Linked DNA regions of Tribolium castaneum. The protein of the gene in region 1 interacts with the protein of each later gene in a biochemical or structural test. Links are inferred from orthologs where the notes say so. Each region holds a gene or a part of one and is shown on either strand. Other genes may lie near its edges. The genes, in order: Uba1, ubiquitin-conjugating enzyme E2 J1, ubiquitin-conjugating enzyme E2 W and UbcE2H.

Evidence for each region.
Region 2: the proteins of Uba1 (region 1) and ubiquitin-conjugating enzyme E2 J1 form a complex in vitro, tested with the Homo sapiens proteins (2 studies listed by BioGRID, with this or other methods). The link is inferred for Tribolium castaneum from reciprocal best matches to the Homo sapiens genes UBA1 and UBE2J1.
Region 3: of the proteins of Uba1 (region 1) and ubiquitin-conjugating enzyme E2 W, one has a biochemical effect on the other in vitro, tested with the Homo sapiens proteins (5 studies listed by BioGRID, with this or other methods). The link is inferred for Tribolium castaneum from reciprocal best matches to the Homo sapiens genes UBA1 and UBE2W.
Region 4: of the proteins of Uba1 (region 1) and UbcE2H, one has a biochemical effect on the other in vitro, tested with the Homo sapiens proteins (3 studies listed by BioGRID, with this or other methods). The link is inferred for Tribolium castaneum from reciprocal best matches to the Homo sapiens genes UBA1 and UBE2H.

Annotation. Positions count from the first base shown.
Region 1 is NC_087394.1:32,756,633-32,761,991, reverse strand, and holds the start of Uba1 (ubiquitin-like modifier-activating enzyme 1), read right to left. Parts: upstream 3,475-5,359; 5' UTR 3,123-3,474; coding exon 2,459-3,122; intron 34-2,458; coding exon 1-33. Other genes in the region: Klp54D (kinesin-like protein KIF12), read right to left, coding at 5,064-5,235, 5,341-5,359. UniProt on the Homo sapiens protein: Catalyzes the first step in ubiquitin conjugation to mark cellular proteins for degradation through the ubiquitin-proteasome system.
Region 2 is NC_087394.1:12,101,200-12,106,612, forward strand, and holds ubiquitin-conjugating enzyme E2 J1, read left to right. Parts: upstream 1-1,776; 5' UTR 1,777-1,873; coding exon 1,874-1,910; intron 1,911-1,961; coding exon 1,962-2,167; intron 2,168-2,221; coding exon 2,222-2,530; intron 2,531-4,656; coding exon 4,657-4,826; intron 4,827-4,884; coding exon 4,885-4,969; 3' UTR 4,970-5,081; downstream 5,082-5,413. UniProt on the Homo sapiens protein: Catalyzes the covalent attachment of ubiquitin to other proteins. Functions in the selective degradation of misfolded membrane proteins from the endoplasmic reticulum (ERAD) and is essential for cells to recover from ER stress.
Region 3 is NC_087394.1:30,472,644-30,477,162, forward strand, and holds ubiquitin-conjugating enzyme E2 W, read left to right. Parts: upstream 1-2,123; 5' UTR 2,124-2,281; intron 2,282-2,337; 5' UTR 2,338-2,386; coding exon 2,387-2,410; intron 2,411-2,462; coding exon 2,463-2,554; intron 2,555-2,604; coding exon 2,605-2,707; intron 2,708-2,759; coding exon 2,760-2,915; intron 2,916-2,961; coding exon 2,962-3,037; intron 3,038-3,088; coding exon 3,089-3,102; 3' UTR 3,103-3,303; downstream 3,304-4,519. Other genes in the region: putative inositol monophosphatase 3, read right to left, coding at 1-249, 302-450, 504-981; NFX1-type zinc finger-containing protein 1, read left to right, coding at 3,932-3,998. UniProt on the Homo sapiens protein: Accepts ubiquitin from the E1 complex and catalyzes its covalent attachment to other proteins.
Region 4 is NC_087403.1:5,361,167-5,365,621, forward strand, and holds UbcE2H (ubiquitin-conjugating enzyme E2 H), read right to left. Parts: upstream 2,334-4,455; 5' UTR 2,189-2,333; coding exon 2,136-2,188; intron 1,917-2,135; coding exon 1,840-1,916; intron 1,789-1,839; coding exon 1,621-1,788; intron 1,570-1,620; coding exon 1,441-1,569; intron 1,392-1,440; coding exon 1,273-1,391; 3' UTR 1,132-1,272; downstream 1-1,131. Other genes in the region: Creld (cysteine-rich with EGF-like domain protein 2), read right to left, coding at 4,285-4,455. UniProt on the Homo sapiens protein: Accepts ubiquitin from the E1 complex and catalyzes its covalent attachment to other proteins. E2 ubiquitin conjugating enzyme that transfers ubiquitin to MAEA, a core component of the CTLH E3 ubiquitin-protein ligase complex.

The DNA.
Region 1 (5,359 bases):
CATGGCGGGTGTCGTCAATGCAGGTCACAATGCCTTTGAGAAAAAAAAACATCATTGAAAAAAACACCATTTTCAAACATATTTCGACCATTAAATTATAAAAGTATGACATTTAATGGCAGTGGAAACTAAATTTATTTTACATCTTCAACTTGGCGACAATAAACTTATGTGATGTGGTATTGACTTAGGCATTGAAATTATAACCACAATATCCATTACATTAAATCGATGTTTATTAAGGACAGAAGTTTTGTTACACGGCATCGTTGTTTCGCATGACCTTTACCTTACACGTATCTAAAATCAATTGAAATTCTCGATAGTGAGATTCACGACAGAATTGCGCTAAAAAAATGATGCAACATTTTTCTAATCTTTTATTTTTTTAAGGTATCTGTCTCAATGTCCGATTTGTTTTTAGCTTAGGACGAAAATAAATGTTTATAACGCAGACCACTTTATTTACACAATTATGGTTATTTTGAATTGCGTAGACAAATACCTACTCTTTATACAAAACATTGATTTGCATTTTTTGTTATACGTATTTTGATGACATGTAATAAAAACAGAAAATTAGTGATTTGAAAGAATTTAATTTTAGAGGTCTTTGAGCAAATTTCATCTTTTTTCAATTGTAGAAAAGCTAAAAATAGTACGAATTCATTAACCCATTGTTTATAGACGTTACAACAATGATCATTAAATAGCTGCTTTTGCAATGAAATAAAACAGAAACCAATATAATCAAATAAAAACTGTATTACGAGTAAGCTGCTTCACTACTCTATTAATTTTCTTGATCATTAATAATCCAAATGTGAATAACATATCACATATCGAGAGAAAAGAAATTATACCTAATAGATAATAATAATTAATAATAGCCAAATAGTTGATTTTTGATGATAAAAGCCCACAAAGACGTTCCGCTAACATTAAAAATTAATTTAGATTTTTTTTCTGATAATTTAACTTTTAATTTTTAATATTTTTCCTGAGACACTCTTTTAAATGTTGCGCCTCTGTTCCCAATATTGGCGAATTTATTGTCAAATTTGCTACTTTGATTAATTGTTTTGAACGTAAATCATCAATTAGTGTCATTCCTGCTAACTAAATTCAAGAAAAAATGATCTGCCAAAAACTTAATCGAAAAATCTAACATTTGGAGAGCTATATCTCGTAAAAAATGGAATTACCCTGTAATTGCCTGTCAATTGACTCAAAAGGCAAATTTTACAAAAAAAAATCGAGTGTCATGTGTAATTCAGTTAACCCAGACCCAGATTTTTAATTTTTTTCATGTTAACATTGTGTTACCCACTTTATCGATAAAAATAAGATTGAACATTTAAATTGGATTTGTCCTGATACATTTGGGTCATTAAAAACAGACATAATAATTTTTCAACAGCATAAAAAAATTGACAAAATAAGACTTTTTAGATTACGATACTAAAATTTGACAAAGCTTTACTGTACTGAGAATGGGAAAAGGAAAAGTGTTTAAACCAATTTTCGAATAAAAAAATACAGAGTTTTCTTTTGGTTTCCATAAAAAATGTGGCTTCAATAATGTAATTTATGCTTTAACAACAATATCAATTTCTGAAATTTTCTTAGTTGCAATCAAAAATATTTGATCTAGTTTTCAGACGACTTACATTTAAATAAATCTTAGTATGAAATGGTGTCATTATTACTCAGAACTGTATCGAATATGAATTTAAAAAAGTTTCGTTTAAAAATAAAATAAAAAATCTCTATTTTAAGCTATTTTATTTAATAAAATAGTTGAATACTGAATGCTTGGAGATCATTTAAGTTGCATCAAGATAAAATTATAGAAGTTTTGTGATTGCAGTGCTTCTTTAGCTGATCTTACCAAGTTGTTCTATTAGGTAAGATATTGTTTGAAGTACAGGGTGAGTCAATAGTGGGTTATTTCTTGACCCGGTATTTAACTAACAAACCTAAAGATTTTTTTAATAAATATACAGCTCACCTTCAAAATATCAACCTCCTACCCTCCACACAAGTGGTAGTTTACAGGAGGAAAAAAGGGATAGTACAGCATCTATTTTTAATAAAATCACATGTTTTTTACAACATTTTCTCAACATTTACACAAAGTTTAATGCCATTCGACTGCTACTTTGGTAAGCCAATAAATGGCTTTAGGTTTTATGAATAGTCTCGAATTATGTTTAATTTATTAGGATGACAGATTTATTTGACCATACGGTATTTGAGTACTGATATAGTGCCCTTTGGGGATTTTCACTCCATACCTTCGCACATCGCAAGGAAAACAAAGGCAAACTTCTAACATCGGATTAATTTTAGCCACATGATCAGGTTGATTGCACAATAATTGCCAATATAACCCGACGTACAACGTCAAGATTAGTCATTGTGTAACAATGCCTTCCATTAGGTTCTTTGTACCCACCTTCTTTATCGGTGGAAATATCAGCGATCATCGCCGAGACCGGCGACTCCCCGTTGGTGTCAACGACCGTGAAAGCATCCCCGAAATCACAGAACACTTGGGCAAAGAGCCCCCTCGTATCGGCCACAATGAGCGCAATGTTACTGGCATGTGTGATTTCGCTGATTTGCATCTGCTCAGCGAGACAACTATTGGTCAGGACAACGACTCGGAACTTGCGGATGAAGTCCGGCGTCAGGGGGCCCGTGTAGGCCTTCGTGGGGACGTAGGTGTTGAGCTCCGCCAGCTGCTTGCAGCAGACCTCGGCCCTGTTCTTGCCCACGTCGGCTTCGGTGAAGTAGAACTGCGACGAGAGGTCGGCGACGCTGCAAACGGCTTCGTCATGCAACGTGACGGACTTGACCCCGCCGAGGATGACGTTCTTGGCCACCTCGACGCCGAGCCCGCCCAGGCCTGAGACCAGCACGTCGCTGGAGGCCATGCGCCGCATGGCGTCGTGCCCCAGGACGTAGAGCTGGCGCGAGTACAGACCCTCGTCGATGTCCTGCTGAGACGATCCGGAAGCGCCGTTGTTCGCCATGTCGGTTGAAATCGGGCACGAGTCAAGCTTCCGCTTCTTAGTTGGGGGATCGACGGAGCCTTCGGCGATTTCAGCACTAGACATCGGACACGAAAGGACACAGTTTGATTAGTTGCGGGTCAATCGAGGAATTTGCGCGCTGATAACCATATAGCAATGTCAATTGGCCGGTTTTTTCACTTGGATTTAGACACAACGCTGGCTGAAGGCGCACAACGAACGAACAAAGAGACCACGGGCCGAATGCGCATGCCGGAATGCGTGATTCACGCACTCCCACAATTCTGCAAACTTACGCGCTAAATTGGAAATTGTCGCGAAAGATTCACACTGATTGTTAAGCAGAGCAATGGGGGCACCGAAACGACCCAAGTGACTGCACACTGTTTAACATTTTAACATCTGTTTTGACAGTTACGTTAATTTTGAAAGGTTGTGGAGGAAAATTGGGGCCGTATCGTCGTAGGCCATGATTGACAATTTTTAAATTTGTTTTGTTGGTGCCATTGTACTCATTACTGGCGGTGTTTAACACATTTAAAATTAGTGCCGATGAGGAGTGCCCCAATGGTTGCGATAATAAGTCTTATAAAACACCTGAAATATGCGTTTTTTATTTTGCCTTCATTGTGTCCATAAAAAAACGATAAAATTGAAAATGTAGGGAGTTTTGTATTACCTGCATTTCGATTTGTAGCATTGACGAATTGTCATTGTCAAAATGTTTGAAAATGATATTTTTTTAAATTATTCCAATAACAAATTTCACTCTTAATAGCAGCATTTTACGGTACAAAAAGAGTGAAAATTAAAAATTATTCCAAGTATTACCGTCACGCAGCAGTTTTTACAAAATTGGAGGGCGATTTTTGTACACTTAATCATTCAACTTTGTATTTCAGTAGCTTGGAAGGTCAATACTTTCTTTACGTTTTTTTTTTTTTGTATTTTGCATCGTTAAATAATGTCACCGCACTCGCTAATAACAATTAATAATTACTTATAAATCATACCTACGTTCTGGAAAACTGCGATAAGTGATAAACATTTGTGACTAATCTGCTAGGTTTTTGATTAAATATGAGCAACATTTGCATTATTTTATGCCTGAACACGTTTTGAATGACAATAATTAGATATTTTTAAGATCACTCTCCTTTTTGAGGTATCAAGTATGACGTAAGTCAAAAATATTGTTTATTTTTGTGATGGTTTTGTGGGCCCGAAATTTGTCAATAGCATTACAATAGAAAATTAACCAATGGCTCATTTTTAGAATGTTTTTTTGTGTGAGTTGTAAACTTTAACATCTTAAATTTATCTAAATAAATATACAAAGTACTTACAGCGATTTACTCGAAAATAATTTTCCCACAAACCATACGAAAATTCCTGTAAGAAAGGACAACACCACGAAAATGATCATTTTGCTCTATATCGATGTGACAAGGTAACATAATTTACTGTTTGCACTACTTGTTAGAATTTGTTTTTCTAATGTACCTAATTAGGGCAACAATAATTAATTCTTACCAAATTCACACGAGTGGAATAATTTCCAGCGATCAACACCACTTTAAAATTAAATTAGTTCCCACTGTTTGATAAGATTTAGGATAATCATGAAATAGACTAGATGAATAAAGTGATTTATGCGTTTAATCTAATCAATTTTTTCAACACAATGGCTATTACTTTGTCAGTCGATAACAAATTTCGTTTGCATTCAAAATGATCAATTAAAATTGTGTCAAGAGAAGAATTCACATTTTCTGAAGCTATAATATCAGTGTAAGATATACTTACCTCATTTTTGTGAAACCTTCACCAATCACCATTTTAGGATAAATAAACACAATTTTCTAGTAAAATAATGTATATTTGTACCTTGTTTTAATAGTAACAATTTGAATATTCCAAGTGTTTAATTCTACAGTGTGTCTTCAAATTAACTATTGGTACAATATGGGAGAACGTACTAAAATAAGATTATGTATTGCTACAGTATCACTCGAGCTATATTAATTAAATGTCTTCTTCATCCGTTAAGGAAATAACGCTTCCAAAAATATGTGAATTCTTCTCTAATTTGCGTCGTGCTCCATTCATTGACGGCTCATTTTCGTCCGGTTTTGCCACAGAAAACCGCCTACCTGCCAGTTGGCGTTCTCTTTCGGGACTATTCGAGTCGAAAGTGCTGAATTACAACCTCATGTTAAAAAGCTAACTTTTTGCACTAGCAAGTTAATACAGTCGCTCAAATCACAAAATTTGTGCAACTGTACAACTTGAGGCAAATTACCCGGAACGATTTATCAGAA
Region 2 (5,413 bases), about 21 Mb from region 1:
CAAGAATGTTTGAACAGTTAACTCTTTTCCTGGCTTCAGTCATCCCTGCAGCAAAACTTTTTTTAATAAAATTTACTTAAAATTAAAAACTTAAGCATATTTAATCTCGTGGAATTATTTTACTCTTCATAGCAAAAATTAAAAACATCCGCAACACTTTTACATATTTGTAAATTATTGAAAAAATGTCACACTGCAGCTCGATTTATTTAAGCTCCACTTACTTGTATATCTGTTAAGCCTACAGCTTTGTTAAGCGTAACTCATTAAAAGTTACTCATAACTTTATCATATTTTTCGAAAGTTTACCCGATTAAAAATGAAAGTAATGAACTAAAATCTGTTTTCTGCGATGATTACGAGAAACTGTGAGAGAGACAAAAAATGTTACTAAAAGTTTTCATAAAAACCGATGTTCTTTTGATTGCTATTAAAGACTATTCAAACCTTCGGTTATCGAATGCAAAAAAAAATCAAATTGGCGCCAATTTCTCAATTTCTGGAAGTTCGAACATTTTGAAAAAAATTATTACTTGAACTCAGAATGGTCGATTTGGTTTGTATACAAAACTTTAATTTGCAATTTTACATAATCTAATACAAAAAACTGACTACCACTTTTCGTAAGTTTGACCTAGAGAAAAATTTTGGCAATTTTCACATATTATACCGAGCAACTGTTAATGATTGTGACTTTTGTGGTCAAGTTGATAACGAATTTGTAAACTTATGACTGTCAGATGAAACAGCTCCATACAAAAAGCTAGCAGGGAGGCCAATAACTCAATGTTGCTAATACATTTTTTTGCCTCGATCATTAAAAGTCACAGTGACACCGAATTATGGTAGGAGATATCTTTTAGAAAAAAAATCCTCATACCAGATGGATCTAATCTGTTGTTTAGGGTTTTCCCCTAATTTTTTTCGATACCTATGGTTTGTTATACTATTTCTATCCAATAATTAAGTGAAAAACAAGTTACTAACACTCCGTGATTCAAGTAGTATCGGACCAAATTTTAATTTTTCCTTTAAAAAGTTTTATTTTTCGTTTTGATGAATCACAATATTTTGGATTAAGCGCCTATTAATAATCAACTACGAATATTTACATTTACCTGAGAAAAATTGTAAACCCTTCGTCTAGTGAATGTCTTCAAGCGACCAGAAACAAATCCACTATCAACACTAAATAATTAGTAGAACACAAACCAAAAACGATTATGAACACATAACAAACGTTTTTAAACGAAATTAATAATAAATCTTTAGCACAACACGTTTTTACTTCGGATTTGACAACACCACAGAACATGACAGGTGCAAAATCGGCGGGGAATTACTGTAGTGCTGAAATACTACCAACCTAACAGTACCTAGGCACTAAACACCCAGATCTAAGTGATTTTATTACAGTCGCAGGCCTCGTAAAATTACGTGAAACACCTTGTATTTGCAATTGGGTGATTTTGTTTAGTTCACTCTATAATCTGTATATCTAAGCCAGCTCTAACGAAATATACAGAGTTGAAAGTGGTATTGTTTTTTCTAACCTCAATCATTTTAAACTACTGACGACTCACGTTAAATAAAACTGAAAAATAACCACTTATCTACAAATTACCTACCTTTTAAATTCCTGATAGACGTTTCACCAATCTCAACGAGCCACAACGTTTCTGCTGTTGAAAGTCCACGTTTGTAATTTGCAGAATCAGCTGATTGTTTTGACAGTTCGCCTAAACAAGAAACATGACAAGTTTTTGTACCCGTTTCGGCACTTCTTAAATATTTCTGTACAAAATTAGTGTTGTCTTTATCCTTACTTTTAGTACAAACGTTCAGTTTATTAGTGATTGAGACCTACCAAAGCATGTCGTTAGAAAATAAGTATAACCTAAAAAGCCCAGGTAAGAAATCGGATATTTAAGTGATTCTCGACAAATTTCCAATGTAAACAGGGGTGAAACGTCTCATGCGCGAAGCGCGAGAACTGGCCGAACCCACAGAAGAATATTTCGCCCATCCGTTGGAAGACAACTTGTTTGAATGGCATTTCACAGTGCGAGGCCCCCCTAGCACGGAGTTTGAGGGCGGTTTCTACCACGGACGTATTCTTTTACCCTCACAGTATCCCATGCAGCCCCCCAATATTATTTTGTTAACAGTGAGTCAATTTTGTAATAATTGTTCATTGTTATTTCATTCTGCAAACTCGTAGCCAAATGGGCGCTTCGAGGTGAACAAAAAAATTTGCTTGTCTATCTCTGGACATCACCCGGAGAGCTGGCAACCGTCGTGGTCGATAAGAACAGCCTTGTTGGCTTTAATTGCTTTCATGCCGACTCCTGCAGCCGGCACGATTGGTTCCTTGGACTACACCCCAGAAGAAAGACAGATTTTAGCAAAGAAATCCATCAATTGGGAGTGTCAAATTTGCGGTAAAATTGCAGAGACGCTTTCTTCGCAGTCAAAATCGTCAAATATTACTCAGGAAGAGGCTTCCCTTATCCAGCAGATTGCTCTCAAGGTGAGTAAATAATTTTTTTAATTGAAGACTTTTTCGCAAAAGAAAACGCGAGTATTTATATTTTTTTAAATCTGTAAACTATATTTAAAAAAATAGGCTTTTGGGATTTAAAAACTATTTTTTAATCGTACTGAAAAATCTGCAAATAATTTCAAAAGACTTATAGTTTTTACCAGCGAATAGGGATGGTTTTTACCATGTTTTTATGTTTTTGTGTGTTTCAACATGTTTTTCAGTCCGAAACGCAGTTCTTTCGCGTAATATCTAAAAAGTAATTTGCTATCAAAACCACATGTTTATGTGTCATTTCTGTTGTTTTAAGGTATTTTCTTATCAACAATTTAACATTTTTAAGGACATATTTTTGTTATATGGTATACGAGTGGTGTAAATCTTATTTTAACGAAAGGTACGTTATTTCTGAACAATTTTTATATCTCATAATTTTTTGTATCAGCATTGGTTTTTGAGTACAAAAATAATTTAAGTAATTTCTAAGGTTGCCATCTAATACAAAGACTGACCCAAAAGTAGCGTACAAAATTTATATCTTTGTTATGTCATTAAAAAAAAAACAGGTCGATTTAATTTTTTTAAATGCTACATTTTGATTATATTATATTTATGATGTCATTCGTTTTTGAGTTGTGACATAATTCTTAATTTTTTTTTAATGACAACTGACATTTTTGTTCACTGTTTTAGAAAGTAAAGATGTGCTTTTTCTAAAACAGTAAACAAAAATGTCAGTTATAATCTAGCTGATAATAAAAAACAAAATTAAAAATTAAACATAATGAGCTTTATTTCTTTGTTCTCGATTTATTTTATAAGCGGCAATTGTTTTTTATATTTTTTTATAATTATCATGAAAATACTTAAGAACTAATAGGAAGACTTTACACAAAAAAATAAGAATAATAAGAACGAGAAGATAAAGCTTTTTGTGTAATACTCTCACTAACTTTTATAACTTTTTTATTTTATTTTCTTCTTTCTTTTTAATTGTTTTATACTTATCAGAAAGATAGAAATGTATACTATCTAAAACACCAATCAAAAATATCAGTTGTCATTTAAAAAAATTAAAAATGACGTCGTTACTCAAAAAAGAATGATGTCAGAAATATCAATATGATGTCAAAATGTAGCATTTAAAGAAATAAAAACGCGTGTTTGAGGATTTTTTTGAAAAATGATTCAAAACAAAGATACGATTTTTATGCATGACTTTTGGTTCAGTCTTTATTTTTCTTTCTCTTAAATTTTTTTATACTTACCAGGAAGTCAGAAATATATTACCTATAAAAAACTATAAAAACACCAAAATCGTATTTTCTCTCAAAATTAGCTATTATAAATTATTCAATTACTTTATGAGAGATCTAAGCATTCATAACTATTCTAAATTAAATTGGACGTGTTGGGGGATTTTTTTGAAAAATGATACGGTTTTGCATTACTTATGTTTTAGCTTCTTTATGTAAGTTTATGTTAATTATTTATTTATGTTTATGTTTATTATGTAAATAATTAATTAGTTATTAATTTAAACAAAAAAAGGCATTTTCCACACAGTTGTGAAGTGGTTGTGAACTTATCTAAAACAACTAATTAATGTCTACACTGTTGTTTTGGAAAATTAATAAGATATATTAGATTTTATAAGACACAGAAATTGTTCAAAAATAATGGATCTTTCAAATAAAAAAATGGGTATAAAAGAATGAACATATAAGAAAAATATGGCTTCAGATATATAAAATTGGTTATAAGTAAGTACTTTACAATAGTAAACAAATGAAATATCACGCAAGTTACGTGTATCAAATTTCATTTAAAAAAGTAAGTTGTGAAGAAAAACCAAAATAATTTTTGAACTTTTAAACAGTGTAACTTTGGTTAAATCGCTTTATTTTGATTTTTGACCTGCGGAGTCTCTCGTTCCTTTTTGTCATCTTTTCGTTACACCCTGTATTATTCTTGATTGTTTTATTGACTGGGCAAAGAGGTTATAGACATGTGATTCTATTTTCAACAAGAATACGGTTCTAGATCTCTATTTAAAATATCATACTCGTAACTACTCATAACTGAACAAAATTGTAAAATTCCGTTATTTCAAGGCGGAGGAAGATGCAAACCGCAAAGAAAAATCTGCAGATAAAAAAGAAGATTCTGATGAGACTAATGTTAGACAGAGAGTAACAATAAACACCCCAAGTGCTGAAACTATAAATGAACCGATTACGGATGTTATAATGGAAACGGAAGTTTCAATTAATCCAAGTACTGTGTAAGTATTAGCATAAAAACCATGTAATGTTTGTTTGTAATTATTGTAACACTTTTAGAGATCAAGTATTCAATGTCGTTGTGTGGGTCATCGTATTTGTGATAGTTCTCCTTATAGGACGAAGATTTTTCTTGTTGGAATGATAGTGATAAATTTTTCATGTAAATAATTTTAATCATAGAGTACCTAATCTGTATACTAAAGCCAAAAACTACTAGAAGATTAATAAATTGCTTCAAACTTTTGTAGACTGAAGCGAGTTTTTAATTTTTTTCATCTCATCCAAAGTGGTAAAGTTTTTAACTTTTTTTTAATATAGTTTCCAAATAAATAATAATAATTAATATAATATTAAACAGCGCTATCTAGACTTTACGGATCTCGTAAGGTTAAAATACCTTCTAACTTCATTCAAGAATTAAAAAAAAACTCGTTATCGTGAATTGAACAGATAACCACCCGCATTCTAGAAACAGTACTTTATTTTTCCGCTCGGTTGAATAAATAACAATTTCCGTAAATCTATGAATTAAAGGTTGTCCCTTTTGTAAATACAATTCTTGTCTCTTATCAAATATAAATACGTG
Region 3 (4,519 bases), about 2.3 Mb from region 1:
GTTAAATTTCGTTGTCATTTTACCTCCCACTGCCTTTATTATAGCGTTTCCTGCACAAATATCCCACTTCTTGATGGCAGTTGTGTGCAAATAAGCGTCCACATTGCCCAAGGCAACTTCCAAAGCTTTATAGCCAGCACCGGCGGCTTCAATTATGTCCACATTTTTCATTTTTTCACTCAAAACTTTCTTTATTTCACCGCTGTGCGACATTGAGATTATAATCTTTATATTTTCACTCTTGCTCCTCTAAAAGACAAATTTATAACCTGATCACCATGTGACAGTGTTGTATACCTACCGCATATTTTAAGTTTGAAGATTTTGCTTTGCCAACCCATGCCCAAAATGTGTGAGATTCAGTGTTAAAAGGTTTGTGAATGACACCAATAACAGGTTCTTCTTTTACAGCAACGCAAACCATTGTAGTCACATACTTGTACAATTTTCCTAACAAAGATTCACTTAACAAATGCTTAAAATGCAAGTATTTAGTACAGTACCAGTGTATTCATAAGTTGCATCTAGTGGATCAATCCATACAGAAATATCCCTAATTTCTTCCAAATGGTCATCTAAGCTCTTAGGAATGGTTACATGTCCCAAGTAATCGATTTCTCTGTCGTCACACTGGACCTTTTTCTCCTCTGAAATTATATGCAGGGTGGGATATGCATGTTTCAAAGTTTTCATAATAGCACAGTGTGACGAATAATCTGCAGTGGTGACCCTATCTTGCATTCCTTCTTTCGTCAACCCTTTGCTTTTTACTTGTAAATTGTCCTTGTTCGCAACCACTTCTTTGCCCCCATTTTCCGCTGCCTTAATTGCTACCTCCAAGAGCTGCTTTAAATTTATCTTAACGCTTGGAGGATCATTATTTGAACTTGTAGTAAACACGTAAATAAACAATATCAGCACAGCTCCCGATATTACACACAGCCCTGTCTTGTTTAGTCGGATAACACCCCCAAGATTCATTGTTATGCAGCCGATGAGTCTCTATCTACATCATTCGCTTTTTGTACTTATTTACTAAAATATTTTCAATTAATCAACCAATATCATTCAATACCACCGGTCTTACAGTTGAATAACAATTATCTTAAGACTATTTAGAAACAAACGTCATCGCATTTTTGCACCTTACAAATAATCAAAAAAACCTTCAACCACAATAATGGTGAAGTTAGTCACAAAATCACCAAACGCTAAACGTCATTTTCAAGGATAGGGCATAGGCATAGGCGTGCGAAATTTTTTTCATAATACAGATAATAACTGTGATAATAATAATAAAAGCACTACCACAAGCAGTACTATTTGCTTCCCAATTTAAATTTTACATTTGTTTTAGAAATCCACCGGGTGGTTATCAAATATTGTATAAAACAATCATAGCCAACTTACGTCAAATGTCGCTGCGCTCCATGGAGTTTTTGTTTAGGAAAAAAAATCTATGTTAAACTTAATCTCAGCGACACACTTTGAGCTAAGAAAACCCACCAAAAACTCTCAATTTGTGCTCCTTTTAATCAAAAAATGCTGTTGCAAAATTCTACTGTAAACTGAAATGAATATATATATTTGCTTTCCTGCTAATTCCGGTCAATAATTAAGTAAAAAACAACTTCTTAACACTCTGCAATTCAAGTACTACCGGACCAAATTTTACATTCAGTTCATTTTTATAAAAAAACATTTTGGTGGAAATTGGGTACTCTTGGCATTAACTTTTATATGAGTTGTCATAGTAAAATCTTAGTTAATTCCGCCACAATGTTTTTTATGAAAATGAACCAAAATTAGTTTTTTTTTAATAACGTTTTATTTTATATTTAGGATTAAGCCCTTATTAATAGACAACTATATTCGGTTCACTTTCATAAAAACCATTGTAGTAGAAATTTGGTACTCTTGGCATTAACTTTTATATGAGTTGTCAAACCGAAAATAGAAATATAACTTTTCTGTGACATAGCGGAAAATCAAATCAGTCAAATTGTGGTATTAAAAAAATTCGACACTTTTGATGAATCTTTTAAAAAAGCGTTCACCATAGGGCACTTGGGTCTTGGTTTTTCTATAGTAGTGTATACATAAGACAAATCGTTGAGGCTGGCAAAAAAATCCTCGATTTGTCCCCATGGTCTCTCCGCCACTGGCGGGAATGAATAATAGAATTATTTACTTTGGAACCATGGTTATCTGTCCATTGTTCGTGAATTGAGGAGCATTGGGGGACAGTAGGTAATTTGGTCGGTTGTTTTGAACGTCAAAAGTAAGTTTTTGGCTATTTATTTGAAGCTAAATTAAAGTCTGTTGATCTGTGTTCAGTTAAAATCTCACAATCTAATCTGTGGTATGATGAAAAGTTAATTCCAAAATGGCAGGGTTGTCGCCGTCTGAAGTAAGTAAATTGCATTGTTTTTCTAACCTCTTCACGAAATCTCTCAATTTAGAGAAGGTTGCAAAAGGAGCTCATGTCACTGATGAAAGAACCTCCACCAGGAGTTGAAGTCGACTTCGATCTGGCAGAGCAAAATTTATTGCAGTAAGTTAGCAATAAACTGCCAATAACAATGCTAAATACATGACTTCTAGTTGGATCATTAATATGGAAGGGGCTGCAGGTACATTGTACGAAGGAGAACGTTTTCAATTGCAGTTTAAATTTAGTAACAAATATCCCTTTGATTCACCAGAAGTATGGGATTTTTTGTTAGACTAGTATTGTGTTTATATTGTTTGCGTTCCAGGTGACGTTTGTAGGCAATAACATTCCAGTTCACCCGCATATTTACAGCAATGGACATATTTGCCTTTCCATATTAACAGATGATTGGTCTCCTGCACTGTCTGTTCAGTCTGTTTGTCTTTCAATTGTTTCTATGCTCAGTAGTTGTAAAGAAAAGGTGAGACCTTATTTAGTATTACAGTATTTTTAATCTTGTTTTACAGCAAAGACCTCCCGATAATGCTTTCTATGTAAAAACTTGCAATAAAAATCCAAAGAAGACAAAGTGGTGGTATCACGGTATTATCTCCTATAATGTAACCCACAATTCCTGATTATTTTATGTTTCAGATGATTCTGTATGAAACTATATAAATAACTTATGGTCTTGTGATTTTAATGATTCTGTTACGCTGGATGCTGTTAGTTTTAAATTTTTAATAGATGTTATTTATTATGACAAAGCTAATTATAAAATATCTTTAGAATTGGATTAACAGTTTTTACATAGTGCCTGTCCTCCAGATGTTGTGTTGTAATTAATTAAATATAAGAGTTAAAATTAATATTTTAAACCCGCCCTGGGCTGTTGCTTATTTCTTACCCGTGTACAAATTTTACGTCTATCAATTAACAAAATCAAAACCGAAAAATCTTTGTTTTAAAGGATTCCTTAATTATCGGACTCGTTTCTGATAAATAAATGAGAAAAAAAAATTAGGAGAAAATAAACGCAACCCAACATACACGCACCTAATTTTCGTTAGGTTGGTATTAAAGGCGTGGTCGGGGATTTACCCACATATGTGAAGACAATCACTTGACATTTATCAAAGCGCATTCGAAATAGTATGTTACGTGTCATGTGGGTGCAGCAAAATTAAATTTTCGATTTAAAGACGTATCTAAGCACGAACTCAGATACAAAATTTTGATGATGTACTAAAAGGCTCTTCTGGGTTACCTTTTGTTTTTGGTAGTAGCTGCGGTAGTGTTTTTTTTTGAAGTGAATATAAACCATAAAGGCTAAGAAGGTTTGAATAAAAGTACATTGGTTCAAATGCAATTTGGTAACACGTCATCGTCATTGTCTGGATAAAGTGTGTTGCAACGTGCAATATTAATTTTACCTTTGTCTTTGTCTTGATGAGCCTTGTACTTTGTTACTTAATTATTACCTGCTATTAATTTGGTATGAATCCCGAAAAACCAAAACCTGAAGTTCCAGCAGGGGCCGGAAGCAGTTGGAGAAATTCCACAGGTAAGAAAATGTGAACCAATATAAGTATTAAGTGAATCTTTTTATAAATCATAAAGACTATAAATGGGCACAATAAAAAAAGAGTTCCAATTACACTGTGTGAAAACAAATATTTTAATTTAGACGAAATAACTATACTAAATATTCCATCGCTTAATCGGATAACAATTTGCTGTGGTACCATTTAATAGGTATTTGTTAGAAAAAACTTTGGTAGGAATTTTATTACACCCTCGGACTCCACTATTTTAATAACTACGAGGTTGTGACTCTTGGTTATGTAACCTTCTGAGCTTTTGAATCCTCACCCGTAGTGCAATTTCCAGGCGCTTGTTTGTAATAAAATAATGTAGTACTATTGTTAATATTACTGCTACTATTTCTGTAAATTTATATTACTGCTTAAGAACAAAAGGACTTAAATCAATGTTTATTATTAGAATTCCCCTGGAGTCAGGCATCTGTTGTATACCTCAGACCTCTGCCAATGGAGTTATTTTGGTCTTTTGCTTTCGAGAATC
Region 4 (4,455 bases), on another chromosome or scaffold:
TTTGCTGCACATTATGAATGAACGATTGAATGAAGCGGTAATCAAGTAATCACGTTTAATTCATAGTAGTTTTATCTTAGCATTTGTAAAAACTTTATCTATAAGTGGTATTAGAAACTCTAACTAATGTACAATTGTTGTGGGGAGTGTTTTTGTTTTATTAAAGAACTGGAAATTCGATCCAAGTATTTATTTTTATGTTCGGTTTCACGCGTATGCAACCAATAATACAAAGGTCAAGGGATAACTTTAGGGAATACACCCTTCCAATAAAACGCATAGGATTTTAGGCACATGGAGGCATTTTTTTATTACAAAAATATTATTCCACGTAACTTTTCCTATCCAAATGATTCTTTACGATTTAGTTCATTGCGCAAGAAATGAATATAGATAACGATGGGTTGCAACAATAACTTTTTGCAGACTTAACTGGGATATCATAAAATAAATGTTTTAGGAAACATTAGCTGGGGTGAATGACACTCGTACGTAATAAATTTAGTTCTTTATTACTGTTAAATGCTACCAAATGACCTACACTTATTATCTTAGTAATAATCAAAATTACAAACATTTTCGTGATGTGGATCATGTATGGACAGTGTTATTTTTTGTTTTGATACAAAAACAAAATATCAAAACAAATGTTTGACTATTATTTGACAGTGCAAGAAAAAATGTTGCCAAAGATACATTTATTAAAAATATATTATTAAATTAAAGACAATTAATGTATATACAATGAGACCATAATGATATCAATGGTGTGTGTAACTTGAAAGTTAATACAAGTGACAACAACTTATATCTATTGCACTAACTAAATTAGTAGAGGAAACATACTGTACAAAATGTTTGTGACATTATGTAAATACAACAAATAGTACACATCACAAAAAGTCATAAATTGGTCTTCCAGCTGCGTTATTTGAAACAGAAATCTTTCAATGACGTGTACAACAATGAAAATTTCCTCTACTTCTGACTAAATCTATAAAATAAATATGTCGCTACGCTCATATCATCACAATATTAACATAATAAGGCAAATTAATGAGATATTAATGTTACTACAACTAATTTGTAAATCTAAAAAAACATTTCCTCTGAAAAAAATTAAGCAATTCGCAATACGTGCAACATAATAAACTCTAAAAAATGCAAAACAATTAAATCAAACCTAATACACATCACATGTAACACTAAAAAGAATTTGTTATTCATAGCAAAGAGAGGATTGAGCGAGCTTTTAATGGTAGACAGCCTGCGTTATAATTCCATGTCTTCAGCTTCATTTTCTGAAAAATCTGACATGGTTGATTCGCTATCTGAACTCACGTTCTCCTGCCCCCTTAAAGCCTCCTCAGTTGCATACTTACGTACATACTCTAAAAAATCACAACTTAACACCACAATCGCTTTTTTGTCAACAGTTACCAGAGACTTTCTTCTTATACTCTTCGGGTTTATGTAAATACATTGCTGCTGCGTCCCCATTTAACGGGTCAATGGGGTTCGGGTAAGTTAGCAGCTGTGGAAGAAATGATTCAAAAATGTTTGAAAGATCTGGAAAATAATCTCGGGAATGAAATAAATCTCGCAGTGGCGAGGATATACCATAAAGGGCTGTCCAGGCCTGATTGATCACATCTAAGCAGACAGTCCCTGAGATTTCGTCTATATTTGGATGGTACACTCTATTCATAAAGCCTATACTAGGTGATTTGAAAGGGTAATGCTCAGGTAAATGAACACGGACTTTCCACACTCCCCCTTCATACGGAGCTGGAAATCATCAATGAAAATAATGTAAAATGGGGCAACCGAAGGACTTACTGCCCCTGGGGCCGTAAAATTTGACACAGAATTCGTTCAAGCCGCCAAGTATCGTGACTTCGTGTTTGCTTTCAATTCTAGTCAGTGTTAAGGATTAAAAAACAAGACAATAACACATTGTCAGGAATCTTAAGGTTGTTCATAGATAAAAATAGCACACGTATTCGCCTATTGGAGTACGCACCCAAAAAATAAATGGCCCTATTAACGAGTCACATAACGTGTAATTTCCCAATCAGCTGATACAAAGGATAATGTTGTTGTTTACATTTGGATCGCACACAAAGAAAGGATACAGTTTAATAACATCTGTGTCCATACGTCGTTTTCCTGCACTTGGAGACGACATGGTTCTGTTGTCATAAAAATATTACCATGAATCCAAACTCCGACGAAATTGCTCTTTCACTTGAGACGTAACCACTTCGACACACAATGGCCGTGGCGAAAACCCAACAGGAATTCCACCAATCCACATACGTTTTTCGTGAACCTTCACGTTTGACAACAAACTCCCTACTGCCTCCCTCTTGCGCATGACTCCACAGATTTGGGGGGGAAAAATGTTATTCGAACAAAAGGACGAACAAATTTCTCCAAATTACGCACAATTCTCCACTTTCAATCCCAAACACACAGCGACTCTTTGCCGATCACCGCCAGATTCTATTGTGGCGATTACGCTAATTATCTCGCATTTTTTCAATCACTCACGCGTGCTTTAAATTATTCATAACATCGCACAATTTTCGACACAATTCCAAATTGTTTACCGAGATTAATTCCTCTTAATTGGAAATTTAAATGAGGTGGCATAAATTATAACGGGGGCGGTTTATGAGTCTGCGCTCATCTCGATCGTGACTTTGCGTTTCAGATTTTCCACTTTTTACCATTAATGACCACTCAACTGAAATCGCTAAAACATTATTGAGCGGTTGTTTGCAACCATCTCGGCTTTATTAAAATACGAAAACCGCACAATTTTGATAAATTGCCAATTACACAAATAAACCAAAAATAAATCTGGCACTCGTAATCAGCTTTTTCACTTTTTTCTACCATAAATGGTCGCTAAGACTTGCCAATTTCAAGATAGCAGGTACGCTTGTTATCTGACGTTATTCATGCAATTTGTTCTTGATACCGTTGTTTATTTGTTTTTGTTGTAAATATTTTTTTATTTGTAACACAGTAACGAATAACAAATAACAATTTAGTGATATGTCAAAGGACACATAGGCACATTTGTGGTTTTCGAAGCTGTTTTTAATATTATATTTTACTATTAAAACTAGCCGAATTACGAAAAGAAACCATCAATTAAAAAAAAAACTGCCAAAAACTCAAATCACTGTCTAAATCTTTCATCCCCATTCAATTTATTTTTATTATTTTGCTACAAACTGTAGCGGAAGTGCATATTAATTTTTTAAATGAGGTGTTGAAAAGTGATAGTTTCAGTGACTTTGTCTTTAATTTCAATTTATGAGTCCCTTGCTGTAACTTTAATGCAAATAAAGTTTTTTAATGGTGCTGTTTTTATTTTATCTTTTAATGTCTTGCTACAAACAGTAGCCAAATGAAGGTAGGTGTATTTTTTTCTATTTATCTTGTGAGGTGTTGAATTTAATAGTTTAATTGCTATATATTATAACGTATTGTGTATTCTTTATTTTGTATAATATTGATAATAGTCGCTTGTTGTAACTTCCATACAAATAAAGATTTTTCAACGGTGTTGTTTTATTTTTTTTTATGTTTTGCTACAAACATTAGCCAACGCAGAAACCATATGAAGGTAGGTGCTTTTTTTATTTATATATTATACCGTATTGTATATTCTTTATTTTGTATAATATTTATAACAGCTTGTTGTAGCTCTCATGCAAATAAATTATTTTTTTATTGTTTTTGTTTTTAATTTATTTTTAATGCCTTGCTACAAACAGTAGCATAAGCAAATGTCATATCAAAGGTGAGTGCATTTTATTTAACGCTAAGTGAAAAAAAAACGATTTTTGTGTTGTATTTTTTCATTTCACAAACCAATAATTCCTTTATCCCTTTATTTTGTAATAATCATTGTTTACCTCATCCTTACTTCCTTTTTTCCTGGCAAGAATGCTCTAAACTTCCACGTGGTTCTTGCTGGAGAAATTAGTTAGACGGTAATGGATATAAGTTTCGAAATAAAAACCAGTTGTTCTGGCAATACCTTTATTGAAAAGTACAAAACTTGTCTTACAATTTTGATAAATTGCCTATCACACCACTAAACCGAAAAATAAATAAATCTATGCAATCAACAATCAGTCAGTATATACAAACAGTAACTTAAACCTACGAACGGAAGATTTCTTGACTAACATCGTACTTCAAAAATTTGGTACATTTACCACCTAATGATCAAAACGGTAACAAAATCACATTAAACGAAACGATCTATTGTGAGTGCAGTAACTGTTCGGCTAAATCGTCGGTTTTTGGAATTGGTGGGGAATTGAGAACATACTCAGACACGGAAATATAAATCGCGACGGCAATTCCAATAATAGCGGCTAAAATCGTATTTTTGTTGAAAATAATACAAGTTGCCACACACAGGCCGAGATA